Linked DNA regions of Elephas maximus indicus. The protein of the gene in region 2 interacts with the protein of the main gene of each other region in a pairwise test. Links are inferred from orthologs where the notes say so. Each region holds a gene or a part of one and is shown on either strand. Other genes may lie near its edges.

What was found.
Region 1: the proteins of DVL3 (region 2) and SNX22 interact in binary tests that used the Homo sapiens proteins (3 or more experiments, as listed by UniProt). The two-hybrid records come from large-scale screens. The link is inferred for Elephas maximus indicus from reciprocal best matches to the Homo sapiens genes DVL3 and SNX22.
Region 3: the proteins of DVL3 (region 2) and TNFAIP8L1 interact in binary tests that used the Homo sapiens proteins (3 or more experiments, as listed by UniProt). The two-hybrid records come from large-scale screens. The link is inferred for Elephas maximus indicus from reciprocal best matches to the Homo sapiens genes DVL3 and TNFAIP8L1.
Region 4: the proteins of DVL3 (region 2) and CSNK1D interact in binary tests that used the Homo sapiens proteins (3 or more experiments, as listed by UniProt). The two-hybrid records come from large-scale screens. The link is inferred for Elephas maximus indicus from reciprocal best matches to the Homo sapiens genes DVL3 and CSNK1D.

Annotation. Positions count from the first base shown.
Region 1 is NC_064831.1:54,377,488-54,384,971, forward strand, and holds the start of SNX22 (sorting nexin-22), read left to right. Parts: upstream 1-4,481; 5' UTR 4,482-4,525; coding exon 4,526-4,600; intron 4,601-4,910; coding exon of another isoform or gene 4,911-4,992; coding exon 4,993-5,076; intron 5,077-5,478; coding exon 5,479-5,583; intron 5,584-6,056; coding exon 6,057-6,151; intron 6,152-7,484. UniProt on the Homo sapiens protein: May be involved in several stages of intracellular trafficking. Interacts with membranes containing phosphatidylinositol 3-phosphate (PtdIns(3P)).
Region 2 is NC_064819.1:30,911,077-30,918,843, reverse strand, and holds the start of DVL3 (segment polarity protein dishevelled homolog DVL-3), read left to right. Parts: upstream 1-4,765; 5' UTR 4,766-4,932; coding exon 4,933-5,093; intron 5,094-7,767. UniProt on the Homo sapiens protein: Involved in the signal transduction pathway mediated by multiple Wnt genes.
Region 3 is NC_064821.1:7,642,095-7,649,312, forward strand, and holds the start of TNFAIP8L1 (tumor necrosis factor alpha-induced protein 8-like protein 1), read left to right. Parts: upstream 1-4,209; 5' UTR 4,210-4,331; coding exon 4,332-4,468; intron 4,469-7,218. UniProt on the Homo sapiens protein: Acts as a negative regulator of mTOR activity.
Region 4 is NC_064837.1:72,069,106-72,076,793, reverse strand, and holds the start of CSNK1D (casein kinase I), read left to right. Parts: upstream 1-4,677; 5' UTR 4,678-5,275; coding exon 5,276-5,369; intron 5,370-7,688. UniProt on the Homo sapiens protein: Essential serine/threonine-protein kinase that regulates diverse cellular growth and survival processes including Wnt signaling, DNA repair and circadian rhythms. It can phosphorylate a large number of proteins.

The DNA.
Region 1 (7,484 bases), on a different chromosome or scaffold from region 2:
TGACCTTGTAGGCATTTGAGTTTCTCTGACACCTGTGAGGTACTCTCTCCTCAGACATACATGACGGGTTGCCCAGTTGGATAGTAGGAGCAGTAGCTGAGAGACAGAAGCAGCTTCAGTGAGTAGCTGGAGACCATTAATGACAGAGACCAAAATCTCTGCTTACCGAGAGAGAAGCCACAAACAGCAACCAGGATTAGACTGTGAGTAGGGGGCACCTCCAGTCCTGAGCTCAAGGCCTGGAGCTGTGGCCCCTCCTGGCCTCTGGCCTGGCTTTCCTGTTGTCCTAGTTCTTGGTCCCACAGCTCTCTTCATAATAAACCCCTGTTACCTGACGGTACCTGAGTGTTCCTTGAACCTAGTGCTGGGCACATTGTTATTACCAGAAAAATCTCCCCGGAAAGTTGTGCTGCCTTGGATGCAAGGTGGCTGGGGTGACCTCTGCCTGCTCCCGTTAGCCAGCCCTGGGTTGTGTTATCTGAAGCAGGCGAACTGCCTCTCATATCTGGGCATGGGGCAGGTGGCCCCTAGGGCCCTAGGAGTGACACTGTTGGCTGGAACCCTGGGTCTAGAGCCTGCCTTCCCCCTGGGAAGCAGGTCGCCAGCCTGCCCTGAGCCAAGCTTTGCTCTCAGAGCTCAGGCAGGACACGCTTGGCTGAGGTGCCTTCAAGAACCCACTTCCCTTCTTCACATCTCAGTTTCCTCATGTATAAAATGAAGGGTTTAGATTATTTTATGAATTTAAAAGGTTTTAGTAGAACTGTTTTTTTAGACAACATCTTACACTGAAATCCAATGAAAACAAAATACTAGTATACAATCATCCCTTTGTATCCTCGGGGAATTGGTTCCAGGACCCCTAGAGATACCAAAATTCGAGGATGGTCAAGTCGCTTGTATAAAATGGCGTAGCATTTGCATATAACCTACACATCTTCCCTATACTTTAAATCATCTCTAGATTACTTATAATACCCAATACAATGTAAATGCTATGTAAATAGTTGTTATACTGTGTTGCTTAGGGAATAATGATGACAAAAAAGTCTGTATATGTTCAGTACAGCTGAGCCCAGACCACGGTTGACTGCTGTAACTGAAGCCTGGGAAAGGGAAACCGTGGATGGGGCGGGGGGACTGTGAGTGTACTTATACTATAGGGTCGCTGTGAGACCGAATGGACTCGGCAGCAACAGGATTTTTTGGTTTACTGTAAACTTATTATTTCAAGTTTATTTCAAATTTATAAAATGTACTTATTAAAAAAGGCAATCAGTAAGAACTAAGGCTGTTTTGATGAACAGGATAGTTGATTTGCATCAACCGCTGCTTCCAATTTATTTCTTTGCTTTTTTTTTTTTCTTTTTCCACTGGTTGCCAGTATTGAGAAAATCAGGGAAAACCCAGATCCCAGTTAGTAGCTGAGAAATAGTTTTTAGCTAGCCTTGCAATTTCAGGATACTGAAAGAGTGGTAGAATTTGTTTCAAGGCAGAAATCACTAACTATATTAGGGTGGCCCATATGTAACTGCCAATAGGCCACCCCATCAATCTTGATTTACAAAAAGCCGGTTTGTATAATTCACTGAAACAATAATAGCTAATATTGACTTAACTGTGTTCTAGGCTCCGTGCTGAACTCTGCCAGCGTGGCTTCGTGTAATCCACGCGACAACTCTCCATTCTACAGATCTGGACACTGAGGCTCGAGGGGCTGCCCAAGGGTTACACAGGTGGAGCCCCAGGTGGCGGGCCCCTGTCGTCCCCCAGCCAGCCTGGGAGAGAAGAATCACGCCTCTGTGCGCAGCGGCGCCCGCCGGCCCGCCCGTGGCCCAGGGCTGTTTGTTTTCTTAACGGGGTTAACCAAACCTCCTGAGCAGCCTCCGCCGCCCAACAGAAGCCCTGCCACTGAAAGGGGGCTTTGTATGTACCGGCGGCGGAGGGCGAGGGCTTGAGCCAAGACGTGCGGAGCTGGCTAAGCCAACCTGGGCGCCGGTTTGGGGGCTCCACCAGCAAGCAGGGCCGCCCACAGGAGCTGGGGCGTGTCGGGAGGGACGTTTTCACACCCAGCCTTCCTCTCTTGTTGTCTTGGTCCTCTGCAAGCTGTGGGCTTCAGGTCTTCACAGCCGGCCCAGAGTGCTCCGGCTCCCTAGAGGGGGTGGGAGGAGTCAAGAGACAGGTGTCTAACCTGAAGGCCCCTGGAAGATTCCTGTTGTTATACCCCTGCAGGCTTTCCTCCAACCTTTTAGCAACCCCTGCTCCCTTCCTGCTGCCTCCCCAGGCTCCCCCTCCCCTCCATGGCCATTGAGTTCCTTCTACATATTGAGCCCATCAGAAGCAACCACTGACACACAGACCAGGTCCCTGGCCTGATGGAGCTTAGAGTCTGGGGGAATGTGGGGGAAACTAAGGGAGACACATACTAAACACAATAAGGTTTGTAGTAAGTGCATAGACTGATATGATAGGGTGGTCAGGAAGGAAGGCCTCTTGGAGGAGGTATTGGGCTGAGACTTGGAGGATAAACCCACCAGGTCAAGGGTCAGGGAAGAGTTGGGGAAACAGCACGTTCAAAGGCCCTGAGGCAGGAAAAAGCTTGTCTTTGGTTTGAAGAACTAGAAGACGGTCACTGTGGCTGGAGCCTGGCATACAAGGGGGAGAGGGGATGGGATGAGATGGGAGGTGGAGGCTGGGCTGGGTCATTTAGAACTTTGTAGTCTGGCAGGGATTGGGGTTTATTCTAAGTGCAATGGGGGAAGAGGGACAAGGAAAAACAGGGAGACCCATTAGAGGACATGGCAGTTTTCTGGGTGATAGGGGTTAAGACAGAGGGGCAGACTGTCAATAGGTTGTGTGATCTAGAAGTCTGAGGAGGCCACCCGGGACAGTAGAATGTGGTGGAGGCCCTGTGGGCCCAGGTGAGCTGGGTCCCTGAATGATGGGCCCTGTAGTGCCGGGGAGGAAATGAAATGCCAGCACTTCTCTTCGTAGTGGGTCATTTCCCTTCCAAGGAACCACATCAGGTTCCTAGAAGTTTCAGCTTCCTGATTTGGGGGCCCATATGAGATGGGATTTGGGAGAAGAAAGTGTAGGAGATAGTACTGGTGAGAGACCTGCTTCCCACCTTGTGGGGTCACTCTCCCAGCCTCTCTTGGGAGCACAGCAAGAATGAAGATTTTCTGCTTCAGCTCAGCGGGGAAGGGGGGTGATTCAGTGGTTCCCCCTCCTCCTAGCCACCAAGACAGGCAATTTGCTTCCTCTTTCCCACCCACCCCAGAGTCCCCAACTAGGTGTCAGCTCTTGGAAGGCAGGGCGTGGCCCTCTCCTGCCCCCAGGGCCTTTGTGGGGGAGAAGCCAGTGGAGTCAAAGACACTGTCATGGTGCTGCCGGAGGACAGCAGCTCCCTCTGATTGGGGGGTGGAGGTGGCCAAGAGGTGGGAGCAGAGGCCCTTTATGGCAGCACAGAGAGTGATTAAAATCACTGCCACACGTCCAGAAAGACCCTGCCCAGAAGGGTGGGCAACAGCAGCTTGGGGCCACCTCCCACAGTCCCTGGTAGCCATCTCCATCACCAGCCGCCTGCCCCTCCAAGACCAGCCACAACCCAGCTGTCATGTACTCAATATTTACTAAAGGCTTAACATGGATGATCCCAATTTTCAGTCTCTTGAGGGAGGCATATTTTGCCTATCAGTCAGATGAACACATGTCTAACACAGTTCCAGAAATCCAGTTTGTCTTACCCCCCGACCAGAGCCTGGGTCCCTAAACTGCCTCTTCCCGGCACACTGGACCTGGAGCAGGTTCGTGGTGAGGGAGCGAGGGAGGGATGGACCAACGGACGGGCAGGCCTGTGGGTGCTGGGGGTGTAATCAAAGCCGGATTGGGTCCTAGCATTCCCAGGCATGGCCTTAGCTGGGGTCTCCAGGCGGTGACTCCCCCTCCGGGTTGGGCCCTGGAAGTGGAGAGAAGGGGGTAGGGGGTTGGTGCGACCCCGAGGAAGTGTCTGAGGAACTCAAGGAACGTCCTTGGTTGGCCCCCAGGGCAGGCACCGAGGGCTGGGCCCTCCACCGCCCACGTGTGGCGGCGCCCACAGGCCCAGGTCCTTAGTAGGCACTCAAAGGGTAGGTGAAATTTTGACTCGCCCGCGTTTCTCGCAATCAGCGGACGGTCAGTAAATGTTTGACAAACAGATGACTCTCCGCAGGAGGAACCCCACTGGGCTCAGAGAGCGACCCTCGACTCCCGCCACTCCACGCCCTTCTAATCTTCTGGGCGCAGGCCCCGGCGGCTCGGGGAACGCCGGGGGCGGGGTCAGCGTGGGGCGCAACAGGGCCAGGGCCCGGGGGCTGGGCTGCGGGCCGGGGGCGGGGCCTGAGGGCCGGGGTCGGGGCTGCGGACCCGGGGCGGGGCCTGGGGGACTGGGGCGGGGCCATGGCCGGGGGCGGGGCTCCGCGCCGGGGTCTAGTCTGCGCCGGGCAAGTTCGGGCTGCCAGCGTCGGGAGAGGAGCCGGCCCGGTTGCCGATGCTGGAAGTTCACATCCCGTCTGTGGGGCCCGAGGCCGAGGAGTCCGGACAGAGCCCGGAGAAAGGACACATGGTGAGCGAAGCACCGGGATGGGAGGGACGCGGGGACCCGCCGCAGGATTTCCCCACGCGGAGCGCCCTGGGGACCCTGCGCCCGGGCTGGGGCGTCCGAGCGCGGTGGACCAGGCCGTCGGGGAACAGCGTGTTGAGGGTATCGGGGACGCTCGGGTTTGGCTGCCCCGCGGACCGTGGTCCGGGCACCTCAGGAGCTGTCTGGAGCAGAGGGGTGGGTCCGCCAGCCCCTCCTCCCAGGTGTTGGGGACGCGAGAGGGTCCTCGGGGAGCAGCGGCGCTCCACCGCCGCTTTGTGCCTTGTGAGCGCAGGAGAACGGGCGCGCCGCTGGGCACTGGTCCTGCTGGTCCCCCGTCTGGACCTCACGCGCGCGCCCCGCCGCCCGCCCGCCAGGTGTTCCGAGTGGAAGTGCTGTGCCGCGGGCGCAGACACACCGTGCCGAGGCGCTACAGCGAGTTCCACGCGCTCCACAAGCGGGTGAGGCGGCGCCGACGACTTACCGACTCCCACCCCCGCCGGCCCTGACCAGCCCCTGGGAAGCGGGAGGACGGGCTCTGGCCCAGCGCACTCCCTTTATGGCCCCAGTCCATGAGGGAGCAGGTCCTGGGCACAGACCGCCCGCAGACTGCGGGGCCATCGTCAGGAGGGCGTAGGAAGGCAGGTCCAGTCCGCAATGACCGTGCCCCTGCGCAGCCGGCCGGCCCTCGGGCGTCTGTGCGACTTGGGGCCCACCTAGCCCCCACCGCCATTACCCGGGTCCATGCCAGGGTAGAGCTGGAAAGGCGGGCGGGAAGGAGTGGAGAGGGCTCTTGGCTAAGGTGGAGTGGGCTTGAGGGCTCAGCCAGGGAGCTGTGACAGCACCGCGGTAACCTCTGGCAGATCAAGAAACTGTACAAAGTGCCCGACTTCCCATTGAAACGTCTGCCCAACTGGAGGACCAGGGGCCTGGAACAGCGCCGACAGGGCTTGGAGGCCTACATCCAGGTACTGTGGGCCACTCTGGGTGCCCTAAGCTGCTGGCCTGGAGAGCAGGAGAGGGGCCCTTATCTTGGGCACGTTATTCACTACCCTAAGCCTCAGTTTTTCTGAACAATGGGTCCACACAAACTTTGCTGGCTTGTTGAAAGGACTGAAGGAGGTAGCCAGGAGACAGGTGATCCCATTGCAATCAAAGTTAGTTCCCTTACCCTGCAGGGGTGAGTTCCTCTGCTCCCTGTGATGGGGAAGGAGGCTAGGGGTCCCCTCAGCCACAGTGATGGGGGATTACAGCCAGAGGGCTTCAGGGGCATAGAACTAGTGTAGTCACACAGGCCCCACTGTTCAGAAGGGCTCTGAGCTTGGTGTGATGCTAGGCTCTTAACTTGAAACTCTTAAGCCATTTTTTTACCAAAGGGCCTGCATTTTCATTTTGCACTAGGTTGTGCAAAGTACCAGCCTTCCTCTGTCCTCCTCTCCAGGGCGTCCTGTACCTGAACCAGGATGTGCCCAAGGAGCTACTGGAGTTCTTGAGACTTCGGCACCTCCCCACAGACCCCAAGGCCAACAGCTGGGGGTGAGTACCTCAAGGGGCTGAGGCTTGGCAAGGGAGAGGGGCCAGTGCTGGGGGTATAGGGGCTCTTGGCAGCAAGCAGAAGAGGACAGATTTGGGGGCCAAGCCCCACTTTTGCTCCTCACCTCTGCCCAGATCCTAGACTGGATCTTCCTCCTCCTGAGGCCTGCCTCCCTCGTCAGCATTTTTTTTTTTTTTTAATTTTATCGTGTTTTAGGTAAAAGTTTACACAGCAAATTAGGTTCCTGTTTTCACAATTTTTATACACATTAGTGACACTGATTACAGTTTTCACAATGTGTCAGCATTCTGCTTGTTGTTTGTTGATCTAGCTTCCCTTCCTGTCTTAGTCATCTAGTGCTGCTATAACAGAAATACCACAAGTGGATGGCTTTAGCAAACAGAAGTTTATTCTCTCACAATCTAGTAAGCTAAAAGTCTGAATTTAGGGCACCAGCTTCAGTTGAAGGCTTTCTCTCTGTCAGCTCTAGGGGAAGGTCCTTGTCATCGATCTTCCCCTGGACTAGGAGCTTCTCAGTGCAGGGACCTCATGTCCAAAGGATGCAAGCTCCTGGCTATATTTTGTTGGTGGTATGGGGTCCCCATGTCTCTCTGCTCGCTTCTCTCTTTTATATCTCAAGAGATTGGATCAAGACACAATCCAATCTTGTAGACTGAGTCGTGCCTCATTAACACAATTGCCGGCAATCCCATCTCATTAACATCACAGAGATACGATTTACAACACTTACAACACACAGGAAAATCACAGCATATGACAGAATGCTGGGCATTACATAATACTGAGAATCATGGCCTAGTCAAGTTGACAGATACTTTGGGGGGACACAACTCAACCAGAAACACCCTCCTTGCCTTCTCATCTTTGCTTTTCGGTAAATGCTGACCATTGGGTCTCATATAGTTGATTGTTTAAGGGAGCACATTACTCGGGGGCGATATGGTTTGTTTTATTAAGCCAATCTATTATTCGGCTAAAAGGAGACCTCCAGGAGTAGCTTCAGTGCCAAGTTCAAAGGTTATCTTAGGACAATAGTCTCAGGGGTTCCTCCAATCTCTATCGGTCCAGTAGGTCTGACCTTTTTTAGGAATTTGAATTTTGTTCTACATTTTTCTCCATTCTATCTGGGACCTTCTATTGTGTCCCTGGTCAGAATGGCCAGTAGTGGTGGCCAGGCACCATCTGGTTATTCTGGTTTCAGGTTAAAAGAGGGCTGTGGTTTCATGTGGGCTGTTAGCCCCACAGACTAGTTTCTTCTTTGCGTCTTTGGTTTCCTTCATTCTCTTTTTGCTCCAGATGAGTGAGACCAATAGA
Region 2 (7,767 bases):
TAGAAGACAACGAAATGATGCCTTCAGAATTCTGAAGGAAACATTTTCAACTCAATCATGTTTTCAGATATGCAAGTACTCAGAAAAAAAAATTTTTTTTTTAATTTCCCATGCTTCCTTTCAAAGGAGGCCACTACACCATGTGCCTTCCGAAAGCAAAGGAGTATTGAGGAAATCAATCCAACACAGAGGAGAGGTAAGGGAATTCTGTGGGCAATAGAGACATCTCAGGATGATAGCTATTCAGCTGGGTGAGACAGCTACCAGTGCAGACCACAGCAGGTGAATGAAAGGCTCCAGAAAAAATGGAACTGGGGGATTACCTAATAGATGCGAATGAGTGAATGAAATGTGTATCCAGAAGCTATTGAATTTTGGTGGGAAGAATTAACAATAGGTTGTTAGTGACCATCAGATTATGACTCATGGTGACCCCACGTGGTACAGAGTAGAACTGTTTCATAGGGTTTTCTTGGCTGTTATCAGAAATAGATCACCAGGCCCATCTTCTGCAGTAGCCCTGGATGGGTTCAGAACACCAACTTTTAGGTTAGAAGTTGAGTACAAACTATTTGTGCCACCTGGAGACTATTAAAGTATATAAAAAGCAAAAACAAAAAAAAAAAGACAAAGCATTGTTGTGGAGTCGATTCAGACTCATAGCGACCCTAGAGGACAGAATAGAGCTGTCACGTAGGGTTTCCAAGGAGCAGCTGGTGTATTTGAACTGCCGGCTTTTTGGTTAGCAGCTCAGCTCTTAAAAGCAAATGAAAAAGCAAGGCTGTCTTAGTCATTTAGTGCTGCCATAACAGAAATACCACAGGTGGATGGCTTTAACAAAGAGAAGTTTATTTTCTCACAGTGAAGTAGGCTAAAAGCCCAAATTCAGGGTGTCAACTCCAGGGGAAGGCTTTCTCTGTCAGCCTTATTGATCTTCCCCCAGACTAGGAGCTTCTCTGTGTGGAGACCCCAGGTCCAAAGGACGCGCTCTGCTCCTGGCACAGCTTTCTTGGTGGTATGAGGTTCTAACTCTGCTTGCTTCCCTTTCCTTTTTATCTCTTGTAAGATAAAAGGTGGTGCAGGCCATACCCAAGAGAACTCCCTGTACGCCTGGGTAAGGGTGTTACAATCTCACCCTAATCCTGTTTGACATAAAGGTATAATCACAAAATGGAGGACAACCACACAATGCTGGAAATCATGACGCAGCCAAATTGATACACTTTTTGGGGAACATAATTCAGTCCATAACAAAAGCAATGATTAATGCCAGGAAAACCAAAAAGTAATAAAGGGAAGGAAGCAATCCTTGAACACACATGGCTTTGCAGTGAACATTTATTCATTCATAGCCAAAATAATCTCCCTGATGTTGTGTGCCGTCAAATGGATTCCAATTCATAGCAATGCTATAGGACAGAGTAGAACTTCCCCATAGGATTTCCAAGGCTGTAAATCTTTATGGAAGCAGACTGCCACATCTTTTCTCCTGCAGAGAGGCTGGTGAGTGAACTGCCAGCCTTTTGGGTAGCAGCCCAGTGCTTAACCACTGTACCACCAGGGCTCCATATAATGTCACTACTAAGTACTGGTTCTTTAGACATATTGTCAGGAGAGACCAGCCCCTGGAGAAGGACGTCATGCTTGGTCAAGTAGAGGGCCAGTGAAAAAGAGGAAGACCCTCAACGAGATGGATTGACACAGTGGCTGCAACAATGGGCTCAAGCATAACGATCTTGAGGGTGGCGCAGGACCAGGCAATGTTTCATTCTGTTGTACCTAGGGTCGCTATGAGTTAGGACCAATTCAACGGCACCTAACAACAAGTACTAGAACCAACAAAGTGTGATTTCACTATATTAAGAGGATGGGGGAGGTGGAAGAAAGAAAGAAATAATTTGGAAATCCATAGGCAACGTAGAGAATACATAAATCAAGAACTAGTGAGCTTAAAAAATAGTGACTATTCTGGAGATCACTTTAATAGTGACTATTCTGGGGGGTCGGAGCCCTGGTGGTTCAGTGGTTAACTGCTAACCAAAAGGTCAGCAGTTCAAATCCACCAGCTGCTCCTTGGAAACCCTATGGGGCAGTTCTACTCTGTCCTGTAGGGTCGCTGTGAGTTGGAATCGACTCAACGGCAATGGGTTTGGCTTTTTTGGTTTGTTCCAGGGGTGGGAAGAGGAATGAGACAGGGAGTCTTTTAATTGTTGTTAAAAGCTTCCCGCATACTATTTGCGTATACACACACAGTACCTTGATAAATATTTAAAATTAAACTAAAAGAAGTAAAGGGAAAGGTACAAACTGGAAATACCAGGTGTGCACAGAGTCTAGCAAGAAGGTTGATTTGGAGTTAAAAATTTGGCCAGGATATTAAAAAATTGCTGTCAAGTCGATTCGGGCTCATAGCATCCACAGAGGACAGAGTAGAACTGCCCCATAGGGTTCCCAAGGAGCCGCTGGTGGATTTGAACTGCCAACCTTTTGGTTAGCAGCTGAGCTGTTAACCACTGAGCTACCAGGGCCAGGATATAGTGAGACAAAAGGTTATAAAAGCAGAAGTGAGATTATGGAGAGCCTTGAACATCCTGCTAAGTATATTTGGGAGGCATTGGGGAATGTGGGAAGGTTTCTTAGAACAAAGTCCCTGGGCGGTGCAAACAGTTCGTGCTTGTGTACTAACCAACAGGTTGGCAGTTGCTTACCCAGCAGCCCTGCAGAAGAATGATTACAGCCAAGAAAGCCCTGTGGAACAGTTTTACTTGGTAACACATGAGTCGCCATGAGTTGGATTGACTAGATGGCAATAGGTTTGGTTTGCTTCTCTCAGAAGAGGTGTCTAAAAGAGATACTCTTCAAATGCAGAGGGGCAACAGTACACAAATGGAGTGAGAAGAGTCCGCACTTGTTACAAGAAAAAAAAACAAAGGCATTGCCCACAGCTGATTCCAACTTACAGCAATCCTATAGGACAGAGTAGAACTGCCCCTAGAGTTTCCAAGGAGTGCCTGGTGGATTCAAACTTCAGACCTTTTGGTTAGACACCATAGCACTTAACCACTACACCACCAGGATTTCCCCACGCTTGTTACTGTGGCCTAAAAGGCCCTATGTGATCTGGCCCTTTCCTACCTTTTCAGCCTCATCGTACCACTGTCCATCTAGTCACGATAGCTGTCCTCCTATTCTTCAAATTTGGAAGTACAATCAGAATGCTCCTTAGAAGTGAGGATGGCAAGATAGTTGCTTACTTTGGATATGTTATCAGAAGTGACCAATCCCTGGAGGACATCATGCTTGGTAAAGGAGAGGGTCATCAAGAGAGGAAGACTCTCAGTGAGATAGATTGGCACAGACCTGCAACAGTGGGCTCAAGCGTAACAACGATTGTGAGGACGGGGCAGTGTTTCATTCTGTCATATATAGGGTCGCTATGAGTCGGAACGCACTCGACAGCACCTGACAACATTCCTGCTTTGAGTCTTTATACTCACTCTGCCCTCTGCCTGGAATACCCTTCCCTTAAATCTTCTCGTATCTGGTTCCTCCTCATCAGTTAGGTCTTAGTTCAAATGGAAGATGTCTTCCTTGACAAACTCATCTTTCCTCTGTCTCTATCACATTACTCCATTTTATCTTCTTAGTAGAGTTTATCACTCTCTGGCTTATTTGGAAACCCTGGTGGTGCAGTGGTTAGGCTACAGCTGCTAACCAAAAGGCCAGCAGTTCGAATCCAGCAGGCGCTCCTTGAAAACTCTATGGGGCAGTTCTTCTCTGTCCTTCAGGGTTGCTATGAGTTGGAATCGATTCAACGGCAGTCAGTCTGTTTTTTTGTTTTTTGAAGTTTATCTATTTACAAGCCTATGTGCCTCCTAGATGAGTGAAGGTTTTGAGGGCAGCCTTACCTGTCTTTCTACTTCTATATCTCAGGCATGGCACCATGCCTAGCACATAGTAGGTACTCAGTATTTATTAAATTAATTAAAAACTAAGGAGTGAGGAAATCTGTCAGGGCACCATCATACCTAGTTCTAGGAGTCCTTGGGTGGTGCAAACGATTAAGCACTGGACTGCTAGCCAAATGGTTGCCGGTTTGAACTCACCCAGAGGCACCTGGGAAGACAGGTCTGGTGATCTGCTTCCAAAAGGTCACAGCCTTGAAAACCCTATGGAGCACAGATCTACTGTGACACACATGGGGTTGCCATGAGTCAGAACTGACTCTGCGGCAGGGAACAACATACCAAGTTCTAGTTTGAGACTCCCTGTCCCAGACAGGCACGCATACCTTCACTTGCCTTTCAGCCCATTTAGTGAACCATTGCTATGCACCTGACCCTGGCTGGGCTCTGGGGCTGTAAGGCGGATTCAGAGCTCGACCCTGCCCTGCCCTCAAGGAGTCCTGTTTGGTGGGCTCTTTTTTTTTTTTTTATGACCGCAGCTGTACTTCTCACCCTAAAGTGCCATACCGAGGTCCCTTGCTTCCAGCGATCCGTGCTTAGAACCACTTCCCACTCTCCCCAAATCTGGGGACCGAAGAGACCCTGCTTCCCTTCCTCCCCGCCTGCAGAGGAGGTCTTCGGTCCAGGGCCAGGGCCTCGGAGGGCCCAGGAGTGCGGCCGTCCTGGTCAGGGCTCCCCTCCAGGTCTGGGCCCCAGGCACCGCGCCTGCTCCCCGCCGAGCGGGGGCCGGAGCCGTGCGCGCCAGGGCCCGGCTTTGCGCGCATCCAGCGCTCGGCGGCCCGCGGGGCGGGGCGCGGCCCGACCCGAGGCCGCGGCACCGGAAGAGTCGCGCCGCCAGGCGGGCCGGAGCGCGGAGCGGAAGCTTGGCGGGCGGCGCTGGGACCCGGGGGAGGCCGCAGAACAAGGAGCTGGGCTGAGCCGCGCCGACTGCCCCGAGGCCCGGCCCGGCGCCCGGGAGGCCGGAGCCATGGGCGAGACCAAGATCATCTACCACCTGGATGGGCAGGAGACGCCGTACCTGGTGAAGCTGCCGCTGCCCGCCGAGCGCGTCACCCTGGCCGACTTCAAGGGCGTGCTGCAGCGACCCAGCTACAAGTTCTTCTTCAAGTCGATGGACGACGATTTCGGGTGAGGGGCCCCCGCCCGCACCGCGGACCCCGCCGCCTGCTTTGGGGGCCACCCGGCCCGCTCGAGCCCCCCCGGCTGTCTGGGGGAGCTGGGGTTCCAGCCCCGCGAGGGACCGCCCGCTCGCCTCTGGTGGGGGACCTTGGCCCCTTGGGGCACCCAGCTTAGGGGAACGTCCAACTCCCCAAAAGCATTCGGCTCCTGGCCCGCCAGCCCCTCACCAACTCGATGGCCCACGTAGACGACACACAACCCCTCCCCCCAGGTCCGGCCCTCCCCCGCCAGGGGAGCCACCTCTTCAGCGCAGACTTGGGGTGTCTGGCACCCAGCCTAGCGCTTCTCCATCTTTTCAGCTGCACGACTCAGGGCCATATTTGGAGCACCCCGCATCTCGGGGCTACGCCGGGGGGACTGCGGACTGGGGGGAGGGAGGTGGCCGGGTGCTGGGGCCCTGCAGACCTTGTGTTTGTTTAGCTGTCGCCCCCTCCCTTGTGGTGTGTCTAGGATGTTGTCAAGGGAGCGAGGCGAACGCCTGGCCCCTGAGGAGGAGTCCAAAATATCCCAGGTGCTTGCTCCCCTCAGTATTGAGGCCTTTTCCTCCAGGTGGTGGCCAAGGGGGAGGCCTTGGAAAGGGCCTCAGAGCCTGAGAGCCAGGAAGAGCCTCTTGGTGTTCTCCATTTTCCCCTCGCTGGCGGGGTCTTCCCCTCCACCCAGCTGCAAGGCTGTGGACAGGCAGAGTTTGGAAGCTGCCACTTCCCCTTTAAGAAGGGATGGAATGTTGGAGCCGGAAGGTTCTGTAGCAGCTGGCCTGGGAAGGGGAGCCTAGCCCATCTCCTCACCGCCCCCCCAGCCCCCCCCAACTCCCAATTCCCGGGGGACTGGAGGAGGGGAAGGCCCCCACACCAGCCTGCATCCAGGAGCTGGGTGCTGGCCTAGAGGCCCCTGGGGAGGCCTCACAGGGTCCTTGAGGCCTGCAGCCATCTCTCCAGCCTCTGCCTGGGGCCTGCACTGCCCTTTGGGGCAGAGTGAGGAGAGACAGTCTTCTCCCATGTGTCCATCAGTCTGGCCGCTCTCCCAGGACCCTGGCCCTCCTGGGTCAAGAAGCAAGCACCTTCTGTCTTCTCCTTGGCATGCTTGGCTGTCGCTTTCCACCCTGGGACTCTGGGTTTGAGGAGCCTGTGAGATGTGTGTGTGTGATCATGTATGTGAGATTTTGTGATCATATGTATAATCCTGTGTGTGTGTGTGAGAGAGAGAGAGAGTGCTTGGTACAGTGGGAAGTGCTTTGTGGAGTCCAACTATCCTGTTGTCTGTTGTCTTTGCTCCTACCCTGGGGCAGGGTACTCCTGGTGCCATGATGATTATCTGGTTTCAGCCCAGAGACAGACACCTCTGATTGGAAGATTCTGAACAGGGATCGATCTGGAAGGGGCAGGGGCAAGGGGGCGGGCGGCCTGACCTAGTTGGAGAAGAATAGGGTCAGAGAACACCAAGATACTTCCTGGGAATATAAGATGTGGAAAAACAGTTACAGTCCAGTGGGCTGGGGCCACCCTGGGGCCAGGTGCACTGAGGGGCTAGGATAGACTTGTGTTCCCACCCCGCACTCACCCCTGGGCCCACTCGGCCTAGCCCCATCTCCTAAGCCTAGACCTCTCTGGGCTGCCTCCTGGCCGGGCCTAACTGCAGTCATAGAAGGATCCTCATTACATCCACTTAACCAAAACCTGTTGCTGTCAAGTCAATTCCGACTCATAGCGACCCTATATTTACTGTTTACTGAATGTTTTCCTTTAACTCCACTGTCAGTCAGCTGCTTTTTTTCTTAGCTTGACCTAACCAGTAATATGAAATCATGGGTCTGACTTTCTATTTATTTTTTTCTAAAATATGTTCAAATAAATACATGTAACTATTAAACTAAGCAACATTCATTCAGGTACCATTTAAAGCCATCTTGCTTACATTAGTGGTACTGACACCACTCTTTTCAAGATATCAGAATAGGTCACTTTAGCAGAGCTGAGAACAATGCTACAAAGGAAGCGGAGGAGACTGATTTCGCTCTTACCCCGCTCCTCCCCAGGAGGCTAAGTGAGCAGAAGGCATGGTAGCGCTCACTTGTCACAGAGGACTCCAGCGTGCCAGACACTGATGTCAATGCTTTTTGAACCTTCACTGAGATCCCACTTTACAGACAAGGAAACTAGGGCACAGAAAGATTAACTTGTCCAGGGTCACACCGCTAGTACATGGCAGCAGAGCTTGATTTGATGTTAGGGATCTGGCTCCAAAGTCTGTAGCCTTAACTGCACAACTGTAGGTATTATTGTTGTTGTTAGGTGCTGTCAAGTCGGTTCCGACTCATAGCAACCCCTATGCACAGCAGAGCGAAACAGTGCCTGGTCCCGCGCCATCCTCACAGTCATTGCTATGCTTGAACCCATTGTTGCAGCCACTGTGTTGATCCATCTCGTTGAGGGTCTTCCTCTTTTTCACTGACCCTCTACTTTACCAAGCATGATGTCTTCCTCCAGGGACTGACCCCTCCTGATAACATGCCCAAAGTATGTGAGACGTATCCTTACCATACTTGCTTCTAAGGAGCATTCTGGTTGTACTTCTTCCACGTAGGTGTTACTACTACCCGCATTTTATAGACGCTTTCTCTCCAAGG
Region 3 (7,218 bases), on a different chromosome or scaffold from region 2:
ACCGCTTGCACCACCCAGGGACCCCTCTTGCAAGAAAAGGTATGAAATATTATTAAGTCATACAAAGGAACCATGGTTCCTGCCACAGCGTGGGTGAACCTTGAAAAGACGCTACGTGAAAGAAGCCAGACGCAAAAGGACATATATGATCCCATTTATATGAAATGTCCAGAACAGGCAAATTCATAGACACAGAAAGTAGGTTAGTGGTTGCCAGGGGCTGGATACAGACAGAGGCACTGGTGGTCCAGTGGTAGAACCCTTGTTCCATGCATGAGACCAGGGTTCAAGTCCCGACCAGTGCACCTCAATGCACAGCCATCACCTGTTTGCCAGTGGAGGCTTGCGTGTTGCTGTGATGAACAGGCTTCAGCGGAGTTTCCCGAGTAAGACTAGGAAGAAAGGCCTGGCAATTGATTTTTAAAAAATCAGTCAATGACAACCCTATGGATCACAACAGCTCAATCCGCAACCAATCACCGGGATGGTGCAGTACCAGGAAGTGTTCCATTCTGTTATATATACGTGGGGTCACCATGAGTTGGGGGCCGACACCACAGCGGCTGACACCAAGGTTGAGAGAACTAGGAGTAATTTGTTACAGTGTCGGGGAAGGCCTCTGAGCATAGGGCCTTCACGCTCCCCTCTCCCAGCAGAAGGAACGGCCGGTGCAAAGGCCCTGGGGCAGGACGTGCCCGGTGAGTTGAAGGAACAGCGAGGAGGCCCATGTGGAGCGAGCCAAGGGAAGAGAGAAGGGAGGCAGGCAGGGGGCGGGGCAGGTCGTGCAGGGCTGTGTGTCCAGAGCAATCCTGAGGTTGAAGATCAGTGTCTGTGGTGTTTGCAGGGCATTTGGGAGCCAGACTGTCCACGGTGGGGACGACAGTGAAGTTCAGAGTCCAGGAGATGATGTGGGGTTGGCAGAGGGTGCTGAGTTTGAGGCGTGGACTGGCGCCCAGGGTTTTGGGAAAGAATATGTGGGGTAGGGCGAGAGTTCACAGAGCTGGGGAGTGGGCACCCCCATGCTCAGCTGGGAAAGCTGTCCCCAGGGTGTGGGGCTTGTCTGGGGTCACGACCTGATGGGCCCTCCAAGGCTCCAGGCAAGGCCGACCTGACTCGCAGTTCATCCACCCACTTAGTGACTTTGCCTTTTTGCTTCCTCCTTCTCCAGGTGGGTAAAACCCCTGACTCACAGTGACCCTCTGTGAGTCAGGCCTGCGCTCCAAGGAGTTTTCTTTTTCTTTTTTTTTTATTCTGCATGAGGTGAAGGTTTACAGAGCAGATTAGGTTCTCATTCCATAGTTTGTACATAAATTGTTTCATGGCCTTGGTTTCTTTCCCCACAGTGTGTAAGCCTTCTCCCTGCTTTGCCCTGGTCTCCTCCTTTCCTGTCCTCCTGATTTTCTACCCCTTTCTGCCTTCTCACCTTTGCTTTTGGGCAAATATTGCCCTTTCAATCTCGTATAATTGCTTGTTCCAAGGATCACCTTCCTCTTGGGTGTTATTATTTATTTTACGGGCCCGTCTATGGTTTGGCTGACAGGTGGTCTCCGGGAATGGCTTCAGTTCCAGGCCAGAAGGGAGTCTGAAGGCCATAGTCTCTGTGTTCCTCCAATCTCTGTCAGACCAGTAAGTCTGGTCTTTTTTGTGAATTTGATTTTTTGTTCTACATTTTTCTCCCACTCTGTCTGGGACCTTCTGCTGTGATCACACTCAGAGCTGTTGGTAGTGGTAGCTGGGCACCATCTAGTTCTGCTGGTCTCGGGGTCGTGTAGGCTGTTTCACGCTGTCCATTAGTCCTTTGGACTCACTTGAGTCTTTGTTTTTTTTCACTCTCCTTTGCTCCGGACTGGAAGAGACCAATCGTTGTATCTCAGACGGCCGTTCGCAAGCTTTTAAGACCTTAGACACTACTCCGAACATTGTGTTTATGAGCTGCGTTGTGCCAGCTGACATAGGTGTCCCCTGAGTCTATGGTCCTTTGTCTTTGAGCCTAGGAACTTCATCCTGCAAGGTGTTTGGTTATGTCTATGGAGTTTCCCGACTCTGCCCCTTGTGAGCTCTGTTTTCTCTGTTAATATATAAGGAATACCTACAGTCACATATTTAGAAATAGCCAGCACCACACCTGTATCTGCCGGTGGGTGTGTTCCCTTAACCGCCCCCACCCACCTCATGGCATATCTATCTACCTATATATCCACTCATAAATTGTTGTTAGTGCTGTCGAGTCGGTTCCAACTCATAGCAACCCCTATGCACAACAGAATGAAACACTGCCCAGTCCTGTTAACAAACACTAATACTATCGTTGCAGGATTGTCGTGTTATAGTAGTTACTGGGGCTGCCCTTTAGTTCTGCGGTCCTCTGTGTCCTCTCTTTGCCTTGGCCATGTTGTGCTGACTTACCCCAATATTAACATGTATTTCTGGAGCCCCAGTGACACAGTGGTTAAGAGATATGGCTGCTAAACCGAAGGTTGGCAGTTCGAATCCACCAGGCACTCCTTGGAAACCCTGCGGGGCAGTTCTACTCCATCCTACAGGGTCACTGTGAGTCGGAATTGACTCGATGGCAGTGGGTTTGGTTTTTGGGTGTAAACCTTTTGTTGTTCCTTTATAATGGTGGTCTCATACAATATTTGTCCTTTTGTGATTGACTTATTTCACTCAGCATAATGTCCTTCAAATCCATCCATGTTGTAAGATGTTTCAAGTATTTGTCATTATACTTTCTGGTTGCATCATATTTCATTGTGTGTATGTACCACAATTTGTTTATCCATTCATCTGTTGATGGGCAGTTAGGTTGTTTTCACATTTTTGCTATTGTGAATAGTGCTGCAGTGAACACGGGTGTGCACGTAGGTCTATTCTTGTCACAACTCTTATGTCTTTTTTTCAGTGATTGACTTTTTTTCCCTTTTTCTATTGTACTTTAGATGAAGGTTTACAGAACAAACTGGTTTCTCATTAAACGGTTAGTACACATATTGTTTTGTGACATTGGTTAACAACCCCACAACATGTCAACACTCTCCCTTCTCAACCTTGGGCTCCCTATTACCAGCTTTCCTGTCTCCTCCTGCTGTCTCGTCCTTGCCCTGGGCTGGTGTGCCCCTTTAGTCTCGTTTTGTTTTATGGGTCTGTCCAATCTTTGGCTGAAGGGTAAGCCTCAGGAGTGACTTCAGTATTAGTTAAAGGGTGTCCAGGGGCCACACTCCCAGGGTTTCTCCAAGAAGCCTGGTCTTTTTATGTGAGTTAGAATTTTGTTCTACCTTTTTCTCCAGCTCTGTCTGGGACCCTCTATTGTGATCCCTGTCAGAGCAGTCAGTGGTGGTGGCCGGGCACCATCTAGTTGTGCTGGACTCAGTCTGGTGGAGGCTGTGGTAGATGTGGTCCATTAGTCCTTTGGACTAATCTTTCCCTTGTGTCTTTAGTTTTCTTCATTCTTCCTTGCTCCCGAAGGGATGAGACCAGAAGAGTATCCTAGATGGCCGCTCACAGGCGTTTAAGACCCCAGACGCTACTCACCAAGGTAGAATGTAGAACATTTTCTTTATCAACAGCTCTTATTTCCTTAGGGTGTATACCTAGGAGTGGGGTCACTGGATTATATGGTATTTCTAGTTCTAGCTTTTTGAAAGGAGCGACATACCGTTTTCCATAGTGGTTGTACCATTTTGCATTCCAGCCAGCAGTGTCCAAGAGTTCCAGTCTCCCTACAACCTCACCAGCATTCGTTATTTTCTGTTTTTTTTTTTTTTATTTGTGCCAGTAATATCGGGGTGAGATGGTATCTTGCTATAGTTTTGATTTGAATTTCTCTAAAGGCTAATGATCACGAGCATTTCCTCATGTGCCTGTTAGCTGCCTGAACGTCTTCTTTGGCAAAGTGTCTGTTCATGTCCTTTGCCCATTTTTTAATTGGATTGTTTGCCTTTTTCTTGTTAAGGTGTTGAAGTTTTCTATAAATTTTAGAGATTAGACCCTTGTCCGATATGTCATAGCCAAAATTTTTCCCCCCAATCTGTAGGTTCTCTTTTTATTCTTTTGGAGAAGTCTTTTGCTGTGTGTAAGGGTTTGATTTTTCTGAGGTCCCATTTATCTAGTTCATCTTCTGCTGTGTGTGCATTTTTAGTTATGTTTGGTATTCTATTTATGCCATATATTAGGGCCCCTAGTGTTGTCCCTATTTTTTTCTCCACGATCTTTATAGTTTTATATTTAGGTCTTAGATCTATTTTTTGTTAGTTTCTGTGTATGATGTGAGGTATGGGTCTGTTTCATTTTTCTACAGATAGATCCAGTTTTGCCAGGTCCATAGGGTTTTGATGGCTGGTTTTTTGGAACTACATTGCCAGGCCTTTCTTCTGAGGTGCCTGTGGGTAGACCGGAACCTCCAACCTTTTGATGAGCGGCCAAGCACGTTCACTGTTTGCACCACCAAGGGCGGGGGGCTTGGACCGTGGTGAGTGGGATTCCAGGTGGTGGGTTTGAGGTTCTTGCAGGTTGGTCTGTTTCGTGGGAGGTTGTGGGCTGGACTTGTCGGGGTGGGTGGGAAGAAGTGTCTGTGGCCGTTTGCTGGGTGCAGGACCTCCTGTCCCAGGGAAGGTGGGTGGACTCGTGGGATGGGAGAGGGGGAGCTCTGGCCACTGTGGTGGGCGCCGGGTCTCTGGCAGGTAGAGTGGACAGGTGAGAACCATCCTAACCCTCTCCCCGTCTTTGATGACTTGGGGCAGGACTGGAGTCGACTAATTTGGGGGAATAGCAGGCGCTCCCCTCCCATAAAAACCCAAGTCCTCCTCACAGCCCACAGGGCCCTGCGCAACCTGCCCTGCCCCCTCCCTGCGCTCCCCTTCTCATCTATCCTCCTCACTTACTCCAGCCCCATGGGTCTCCTCACTGTTCTCCAACTCACCAGGCAACAGTCCTGCCTCAGGGTCTTTGCACGGGCTGTTCCTTCCACCTAGAGCACCCTTCCCCCAACCTTATCATTCCAATCCCAGCTCTAGGGGCTCCTCCTCAGAGAGGCCCTCCCTGACCACCGCAGCTAAGGTCACCTGTCTGCCACTGGCTGTCACCCCCATCCCTGCCCCCCAATTCCTTTTCCTCTGCCTGTCTCCACAGCTCTTATCTCTCTCTAAAACTATCCTGTTTAGTTCTATTTTAAGGAGCCCTGGTGGTGCAATGGTTACGCACTCAGCTGCTAACTGAAAGGTTGGTGGTTTGAATCCACTCAGCAGCTCCGCAGGAGAAATGCCTAGTGATCTGCTCCCGTGAAGATTACCGCCAAGAAAACCCTACTTTGTCCCATGGGGTCACTATGAGTCAGAATCAACTTGACAGCAACAAACAACAACACTTCTGTTTTTACAAGTTTCTGGCACCTCCTCCTTCCAGCAGGGATGACGAGGCCTCCTAGGGGACTGCTTTGGAAATCTGAGGGGCTCTTTTTGCTCATGACAATGTGGGGTATCCTGGCATCTGGGGGCAGGGGCCAGGGTCACTGCGTCTAGGCCTGCACGAGGTAGCCCCTCAGCACTTATGAGGACGGTCCCTGTCAGGGAAGGGCCAGGTGGCACAGCCTGGGCAGCCTCCTGGCCTGCCGGCCTCAGCCTGGTGAACGCAAAGGCAGGAAGGAAGCCGCCATTTATTTTTGTCCGTGGCCTGCTCCCCAGGGACGGCGGTCATTGCTCTGCCCAGCTGCTTCGATGGAGGGGTTTCTGGCAGAACAATGGGTCAGCAGGAGGAAGGGGAGGCCACGAAGCTGGGCCGGCCCAGGTGTGGGCAGGGCTGGTGGCTGGTGGAGGGGTGTGGAGGCTGGAAGGGAGGGTGCAGCTGTCCCCTCCCCTGGCCCTTTTCCTGCTGGGCTTGCAGGGGTGAGACATTTGGGAGCCCAGGCCCTTCCTGAAGTTGGTAAACAGGCTGCAGCCAGCTCCCCTCCTGAGCCAACACACCCAACCTCGGGATGCGCAGATGGGAAGGTCGAGGCCCAGAGAGAAGCAGAGCCCTGCCAGGGTCGCACAGCCATCAAGATGGGCAGAAAGACCTGGGGGCTAAGGCCTTTTCCTCCCTCAGCCTCAGTTTGTTCATCTGTAAAGTGGGCAGGCAGGACCGAGTGGCTGGGGGTTCCCTCTCAGTTCTGATGTTTACAGACATCCTTTCCCTCATGTATTCGGCAAACACTTATGAACCACCTGCTGTGTACCAGGCCCCAGGCTGGGCACCAGGACATTGATGAACAAGACAGATGCAGCCCTGCCCACACCGTCAGGCAAGGGAGATGGACACAGAAACCCAGGTGCCCAGGGCTATGACGGGATGCCCAGGGTGCTATGGGAGCTAAGGAGGCACCTGACTCAACTGGGGGCACCTGGCAGGGGTTCCAGGAGGAGGTGTCTTGAAGGATGAGTAGGAGTTTGCCAGATGAGTAATAGGGGATGGGGCGGGGGTCCAGGTACAGATAAATGGAATATGAGAGACAGAATGTTCTGGAGAAACTGGCATTCACAGAATGCATCAAAGAACTAGGTTTGCAAGTTCAAAGAGAGCTGAGTGGGGGAGCCTGGATGGTGAATTTCAGACAATGGGTCCCAGCATTTTGGGGACTCGTAGCTTGAAGGGCAGGTACTGGCTATAGGCTCTGCCCCAGGATGAAGTTGGTTGTGAGCTTCCCCAGTTTACAGATGAGGAAACTGAGGCACGTGGTGGTGTTGTTGCTTGCCTGAGGCATCAGAGCCAGGAGTGGGCCCTACATAGGCGGCTGGTTTTATTATAGGGGGCGGGGGCAGACTCGAGGTGACTTTCAGGCGTTAGGTGGGGAAGGCGGGGGTCAGTACCTTCCAGGCAAGCGGGAGGGAGTTTGGGCAACACAGGTGTTAGGAACAGGCCAACTGGGTTCAAGTCCTGGCTCTGTTACCATATTGTGTGGCCTTAGGGAAGTGGCTCAGCCTCTCTGAGATTTTGTGTTCTCGTCTGCAAAACTGGCAGCCCACCCACAGAAGGATAGATCTGGCAGAAAGGACAAAGGGTCATGTGTCACCAGGCTGGGCCTGCCACATGGTGCTGCGTATACGGCACCCCTGTTCTGGCCCAGGGCTGCATAGAGCCAGGGTCCGGTGACCGCAGTGGGGGCAGGGAAGTCCGCTCCAGCAGCCCGGGCCGCCAAGGGCAGGCGAGCGGGCGGCTGGGGTTGGGACTTCTCCCGGGGTGGTCTGA
Region 4 (7,688 bases), on a different chromosome or scaffold from region 2:
TAGATTTTACTATGCCTATCGACCTAGAGTCGCTATGAGTAGGAATTGACTCGACGGCACTGGGTTTTTTTTTTTTGGTTTTATTGACCTAGATGTACTGAAACCAAGGTCCCCAGACTCCCACTCCTCTTACGCTGGCCTTCGAAGCATTCGGTTTATTCAAGAAACTTCTTTTTTTGTTGTTTAGTCCAGTTGTGCTGACCTCTCCTGTATTGTATGTTGTCTTTCCCTTCACCTAAAATAGTTCTTGTCTACTAATTAGTGAATACCCCGTCCCTCCCCCTGCACACTCATAACCACCAAAGAATATTCTGTGTTTCTACTATTTCTCGAGTTCTTATAATAGTGGTCTTATACAATATTTGCCTTTTTGCAACTAATTTCACTCAGCATAATGCCTTCCAGATTCCTCCATGTTATGAAATGTTTCATGGATTCATCATTGTTCTTTATTGATGCATAGTACTCCGTTGTGTGAATATACCATAATTTATTTATCCATTCATTCATTGATCGTCACCTTGGTTGCTTCCATTTTTTTGCTATTGTAAACAGTGCTACAATGAACATGCGTGTGCATATATCTGTTCATGTAAATGCTCTTATTTCTCTAGGATATATTTCAAGGAGTGGAATTGCTGGATCATATGGTAGTTCTATTTCTAGCTTTTTAAGGAAGCACCAAATCGATTTCCAAAGTGGTTGTACCATTTTACGTTCCCACCAGCAGTGTATAAGTGTTCCAGTCTCTCCACAACCTCTCCAGCGTTTATTATTCTGTGTTTTTTGGATTAATGCCAGCCTTGTTGGAGTGAGATGGTATCTCATTGCAGTTTCGATTTGCATTTCAGAAACCCTGGTAGTGTAGTGGTTAAGTGCTACAGCTGCTAACCAAAAGGTCGGCAGTTCAAATCCGCCAGGTGCTCCTTAGAAACTCTACAGGGCAGTTCTACTCCGTCCCATAGGGTCGCTATGAGTCGAAATCAACTCGGTGGCAGTGGGTTTTAATGGCTAATGATCGTGAGCATTTCCTCATGCATCTGTTAGCTGCCTGAATGTCCTCTTTGGTGAACTGTCTGTTCATATCCTTTGTCCATTTTTTAATTCGGTTATTTGTCTTTTTGTTGTTGAGTTTTTGCAGTATCATGCAGACTTTAGAGATCAGATGCTGATAGGAAATGTCATAGCTAAAAACTTTTTCCCAGGCTGGACTGCCAGGTGGCCAGGCCTGGTACCTGGATACTACCCCTCCGGGGGCCAGTAGGGATGGTGCCTCCGAGGACCTGCAGACGCCCGGTGGCGTGGGTCCAGGGCTGGAGAGACAGACTCCGGCTCTCTCCTCATCCTGCAAAAGGGCAGTGTCAGGTCTTTTGACTCTTTTGGTGAAGTGTTTGGATGAGCATAGGTGTTTAATTTTTAGGAGCTCCCAGTTATCTAGTTTCTCTTCTGGTGTTTGCACATTGTTAGTAATGTCTTGTATACTGTTTACACCATGTCTTTATCATTTTAGACTTTATATTTAGGTCTTTGATCCATTTTGAGTTAGTTTTTGTGCATGGTGTGAGGTATGGGTCTTGTTTTTTTTTTTTTTTTTTGCAGATGGATATCCAGTTATACCAGCACCATTTATTAAAGAAACTGTGTTTTCCCCATTTAACTGACTTTGGGCCTTTGTCAAATATCAGGTGTTCATATGTGGATGGATTTATGTCTGGATTCTCTGTTCTACTCCATTGGTCTATATATCTGTTGTTGTACCAGTCCGAGGCTGTTTGGACTACTGGACTTCCAACTATTTTTGGTGAGGGCTGCATGCCTGAGGCTGAAGGCAGAGACGGGAGACTTCCAAGTGGGAAAAGGCAGCTCTGCTGTGTGCCAGGGGCCAGCGCACCCTCCATGCCCTCTCTTTAGCCTCTGTGAACCCTGTGCCCAGCGGGATGCCTGCTGGATGTTTAGGAGTGCGTTTCATCAACCCATTTCATGGTTCTTTTTTAGCTGGGGGTTGGCGGGGAGGGGCGGGTTATTCAATAGGAAAGGTAAGCACGTTTTTCTCACCACATCAAACTTTGTGCTTCTAGGTGTGGCTGGCATCTGTCTCTCTCCCAACCCCACAGCACCTTCCTACAAAGCCTCTTTTCAAACTTATAATCCCTGACAGAGACAGATAACCCAATCACCCGTGTGAAATTGTTCACTACACATTAGTAAGCAAGCATAAGTAAGCCTGTGCTTACCTTGCTTACTGGGTCATCTGCCCCTGGAGGTGTCTACAGAAGCTTGCTTGGGCTTGGGGGCCACTCTGGTAGGCTGTTCCCAATGGTCCGAGTCAAGAGTTCCAACTTGGTGCCTGAGCATCCTGCACTATTTTGCAATTAAAAATATCCAGATGCAGGCAGATGAGGTAAAGATGCTCACTTGGGGCCCAGGCAATGGCACTGGAGAGGTGGTGTCAGCTCGCCCTTTGGAGGCCTGCTTGCATCAACCCAGCCTTCACCCAGTAGGGCCCCCTGACCTGGGTCCTGGGTGGCCTACTCCTCCCTTTGCTTTATATCTGAGTTCCAGGGGTGTAGGAGGTGTTAGAAGGCTACAGGCACTCAATTCCCAAGCCCCCTAAATCCAGAAACTGGCATCTCCTGGAGGGACGGACCAGTAGATGTCCCTGGCAGGACCACAAGGCCAGCGCACACCTGCATCCCGCCTGGGTGCCTCAGCGGACCTGCCGACCCCGGTGGCGCAGGTCCAGGGCTGGAGGGACAGACTCTGGCCCTCTCTAAAAAAAAAAAAACTAGTGCCATCTCTGCATCCCGCAAAAGGACAGCGTTAGGGCCCCGCCCAGGTCTGTCCGTAGGATCCCCAGGCTTCCTAGACCTGCCGGGGGCACACAACGCCCCAGCGCGAGCACGTGGAGCCGGTGCGCAGGATGGGTCTGGGGGCGGGGCGAGGAAGGAGCCCCAGGAGGAGGCTTCAGTGCGCTCGCCCCGCCCAGACGCCCCCCACCCCGCCCTGTCCGGATGCCCAAAGCCCCCTGCCCCGGCCCGCCCAGGTGCCCAAGCTTCCTGCCCCACCCTTTCCCCATGGCCAAAGCCCCCACCTCACCCTGATCAGATGCCCTAAGCGTCCCCCCCATTCCACCCTATCCCAAGGCCTGTACCCCCAGCCTCACCCTGATCAAAAGTCCATACCCTGGGTGGGAGAGGAGTATTCACTAGTTAGATAGTAGATAAGAACTACTTTAGGTGACAGGAAAGACAACACACAATACAGGTGAGGTCAGCACAACTGGACTAAACCAAAAGGAAAGAAGTTTCCTGAATAAACTGAATGCTTTGAAGGCCAGCGTAGCAGGGGCAGAGTTTGGGGACCATGGTTTCAGGGGACATCTAAGTCAAATGGCATAATAAAACCTATTAAGAAAACATTCTGCATCCCACCTTGGAGAGAGGTGTCTGGGGTCTTCAACGTTAGCAAGCGCCCATCTAAGATGCATCAATTGGTCTCAACCCACCTGGAGCAAAGAAGAATGAAGAACACCAAGGACACAAGGTAATTATGAGGCCAAGAGACAGAAAGGACCACAGAAACCAGAGAGTACAATCAACCTGAGACCAGAAGAGCTAGATGGTGCCCGGCTACAACCAATGACTGTCCTGACAGGGAACACAACACAGAACCCCTGAGGGAGCAGGAGAGCAGTGGGATGCAGACCCCAGATTCTCATAAGACCAGACTTAATGGTCTGACTGAGGCTAGAAGGACCCCGGTGGTCATGGCCCCCAGCCCTTCTGTTGGCCCAGGACAGGAACCATCCCTGAAGCCAACTCTTCAGACATGGACTGGACTGGACATTGGGTTGGAGAGGGATGCTGGTGAGGAGTGAGCTTCTTGGATCAGGTGGACACTTGAGACTATGTTGGCATCTCCTGCCCAGAGGGGAGATGAGAGGGTAGAGGGGGTTAGAAGGTGGAGAAATGGACACGAAAAGAGAGAGTGGAGGGAGGGAGCGGACTGTCTCATTAGGAGGAGAGCAATTGGGAGTAAGTAGCAAGGTGTATATAAGTTTTTGTGTGAGAGACTGACTTGATTTGTAGACTTTCACTTAAAGCACAATAAAAATTTTAAATAAAGTCCATACCCAAAGCCCCCTCCCGCCTCGCTCCGACCCCGCCCCTCGAGCGGCGCGGCCCCGCCCCTCCGTGTTGCCAGGGGAAGTGACGTCACAGCGCCATGGCGGCGGCTCTCTTAGGCAGCCGAAGGGGGATTTAGGCCCGGAAGATCCGAGTCCATCCGCGGCGGGGAGAGGACCACAGGGGCCGGCAGGGGCCGGAGCAGGGGCGGCGGCACTCGGACTGTCCCATCCGTCCCGTATTGAGGCGCTGGGAGCGGCGGGGAGGCCGGAAAGCGATGGTGAAAGCGGGGCCGTGAGGGGGGCGGAGCCGGGAGCCGGACCCGCAGTAGCGGCAGCAGGGGCGCCGCCTCACCGGAGCTCAGACCCAGGAAGCGGCCGGGAAGACAGGAGCGAGCCGGGCCGCAGTCATGGAGCTGAGAGTCGGGAACAGGTACCGGCTGGGCCGGAAGATCGGCAGCGGCTCCTTCGGAGACATCTATCTCGGTGAGGCCGCGGCGCCCCCCTGCCGCCCCCCGCGCCCCTCCCCCGCCCCGGGAGCCGACCCCAACCCGGCGTTCGGCCCCCGAGGGCGAGCCCCCGGCCCCGAGGGCGCCGGGGCGGGGCGCCGGGGTCCGGGGCCTCGCGGGGGGACTCCTGTCCGCGCCCGGTTCACTGGGTTCGCCCCGTGTCAAGACCCCCCACCCCCCGACAGCTCGAGACCGAGCTTGGCGTCCAAGAGGCCGGAAAAGGGGGCTCCGCTGGCCGGGCGCGGGAGCTGGGGGCGCTTGTAGGGCCTGGTGGCCGAGGAGGCGGGGGCTGCCCGTGTTCCGGCCCTAACCCCCGCCCGGCCCCAGTCTCGGTCCCCGGCCCTGACCCCCGCGCAGTCCCGCCCTCGGTCCCGGTCCCTGACCCCCGCCCGGCCCCGCTCTCGGCCCCCGCGCCCCGAGTCCCAGTCGCCGGCCGGAAGTAGCTGTGCCGCGGGTGGCGTGGGCAGGGCCTGGACAGCTGCGGCCGAGAGGGGCAGCGCCCCGTGGGAGTCTCGGGCGTCGGCGAGCTCCCGAGGCGCTGTCCCCCCGGCCACCTTGCGGCCTTGTAGGGTCGGGCTGTGCTCGTCCCCACGCCCTCCTGTCGCCTACAAGTAAAGGCCACGGCTCCTTCTCCGCAGCCCCCATGGGGCTCACGGCTGCGTCTCACACACGTGGGGAAAATGTCAGAACAACTGGAATGCGGTTGGAGGTGGGACATCCTGTGGCTGTGTTCCTAGGTACTCTGGTTTCTTGTTGCTTTATACTCCTGCCTTTTGCAGGATGGGCCTCGGTGGGTCCTCTCTGGGCTGTGACCTTAGTTCCCCTGAGACTGGAGGGAGGCTTTGAGAGCACTCTTGTTTGCATCTTAGCCCAGCGTAGGGGCTCGGGGTGACCGCTGAGGACAGGTTGAGCATCAAGTGAGGCCAAAGCAAGGTGCCTAGAGGTGAAGAGTTAGGTTACTGTGGACAAAGTCAGGCTGATAAAGTAGGAAGAAAGTTGTGTTTCTGAGCCTGGCATTTGGCTGTTGGGATGCTCAGAAACCAAACCCATTGCTGTGGAGTCAATTTTGACTCATGGCAGCCCTATAGGACAGAGTAGGACTGCCCCGTAGGGTTTCCACGGAGGGGCTGGTGGATTTGAACTGCTGACCTTTTGGTAAGCAGCCAAATGCTTAACCATTGCGCAACCAGGGCTCTAGAATTTTCAAGCTTCAGCTGAAGTGTTTGGGATTTTTAAAAAAGCACGTATATACACAGGCTTATGATAAAAGAATGGCTGAAATCTTAAAGTTGGGAATTGAAAAATAACCAAGTTTTTCTGCATTTTCCCAAGCAAGCATGTTGTGTCTAAGCTTCTCAAGCTTCCTGAACTTGAGAACATGAGCCTGGCGTGCCGGCAAGTGTGCAGAAGAATTGTTGCATAACCTCAGGGTAAACATGGCCTGTTGTTGAGCAGCCCGCTTTGGCTGTTCTGTTTGGCTCGTGTGCCTGTTAGGGAGGGCCAGGAACCGCTGTCTTCTTCCTGGGTGTACAGTGATTCTCTGTTGGCTTTTCAGACTAGCCAAGTCTGTGCTGACACCCCCACCCTCCCCTTGTTACTGAGGAGGAGATCCAAGACCTTGTGGCTAACATGTTTGGGGAGCTCCCCCACTGCTCTTGGTGCCTGGTTAACCTCCAGGGTAACTCATCATGTGCTGGGTGGATGCCTGTGGGCCATACTTCTGCCTTACTGGCCTGCTAAAGAAAGGCTGCTGTAGAGATGCTTGGATTTTGCTGTTTAAATATTTATACCGAAGGAGTCATTGGGTGCGTTCTCAGCCTGTTTGGGAGTGCAGTGCTGGGTAAATGCAAGCTGTTTGCCTTATTTATGGAGGAGATCTTGGCAAAAGTCTTAATCTCAGATCTGGGAGCTGTACTGAAAAGCCAATGCATTATCCAGCCTTACACGGGCATCAGAAGTAGATGATTTGAAACTTTTTGTTCTCTGATCTGAGATCTTGCCAAACAGCTTTGTGCTTTCAGAAGATAAATTCAGACCATTAAGTTGCCGAATTGTTTTCACTGAGTCGTTCACAGAGGGGTGCCCTCTTCTCACAGGGCTGGAAGCTTGGAGCGGGAACCCTGTCTGCTTATTTGCCGTGGTGTCCTTTGGGCCTCCCTCATATTAAACCCAGCGTGGGTGTTTAATACAGGTGGGGGATGGGCCCCGAGGGGTCTGTTCTCAGGCTTCTCCTCTTTGTGTGTTCTGAGGTGGTGCACTGTGGCTCCCGGACACTTGGATTGGCACACCTAGGCAGCCCATGACTTGTGTGGGCCTGTTGTCGTAACGTGCTGTCAAGTTGGTTCCAATTCATGGTGACCGTATAGGACAGAGTAGAACTATCCCTATAGGGTTTCTAAGGAGTGGCTGGTAGATTTGAACTGCTGACCATTTGGTTAGCAGCTAGGCTTTTAACTATTGTGCCACCAGGGCTCCTGTCTGGGGCTAGGCAGGACGGATTAATTTCTAGTTAGTCAGCATTGGTTTTGGCTCACAGTCTATGTTCTTGGAGGCTACATGCTGCCCCACCAAGGAAATGTGAAGAGATCTTGTTAGCTTGAGTAAGACATGGCTAGGTCAGTTGGTTAGAGCAAAATCATCATATACTGTGGTGAAGAGTCCAAGAGGCTGGGCCAGCACTGTGAGGTACATTGAGTCATCCATGTTATTGGTTCCCATTCGTGTAGGCAGTTAGGCAATTGAGTTGGGGCCTCATCCTGAAAAGCTGGTCATAGGAATTTAGTAAGATTCTGGTTAAAAGCATTCCTGTTGCCGCCACTCTGACATTAGATAGCTCTGAACTGCTCAAGGTAGGGTTCACCTTGTTTTGAGACTGGCATTCCAGGCTTTGGGGGTCTAGCTCGGACTTCAGTGCTTGTAGGTGTTTGCAAATGTGGGGAGGGGAGTCTGTCCCTGTGTTTGCTGAGCACTTTGTGAGCAAGAAGACCCAGTGCTGGCCGACCTTCTCTAGCTGCCTGCTGTGCAGATGGAGCTTGAGGGAGGGCCACAGGCTGTCT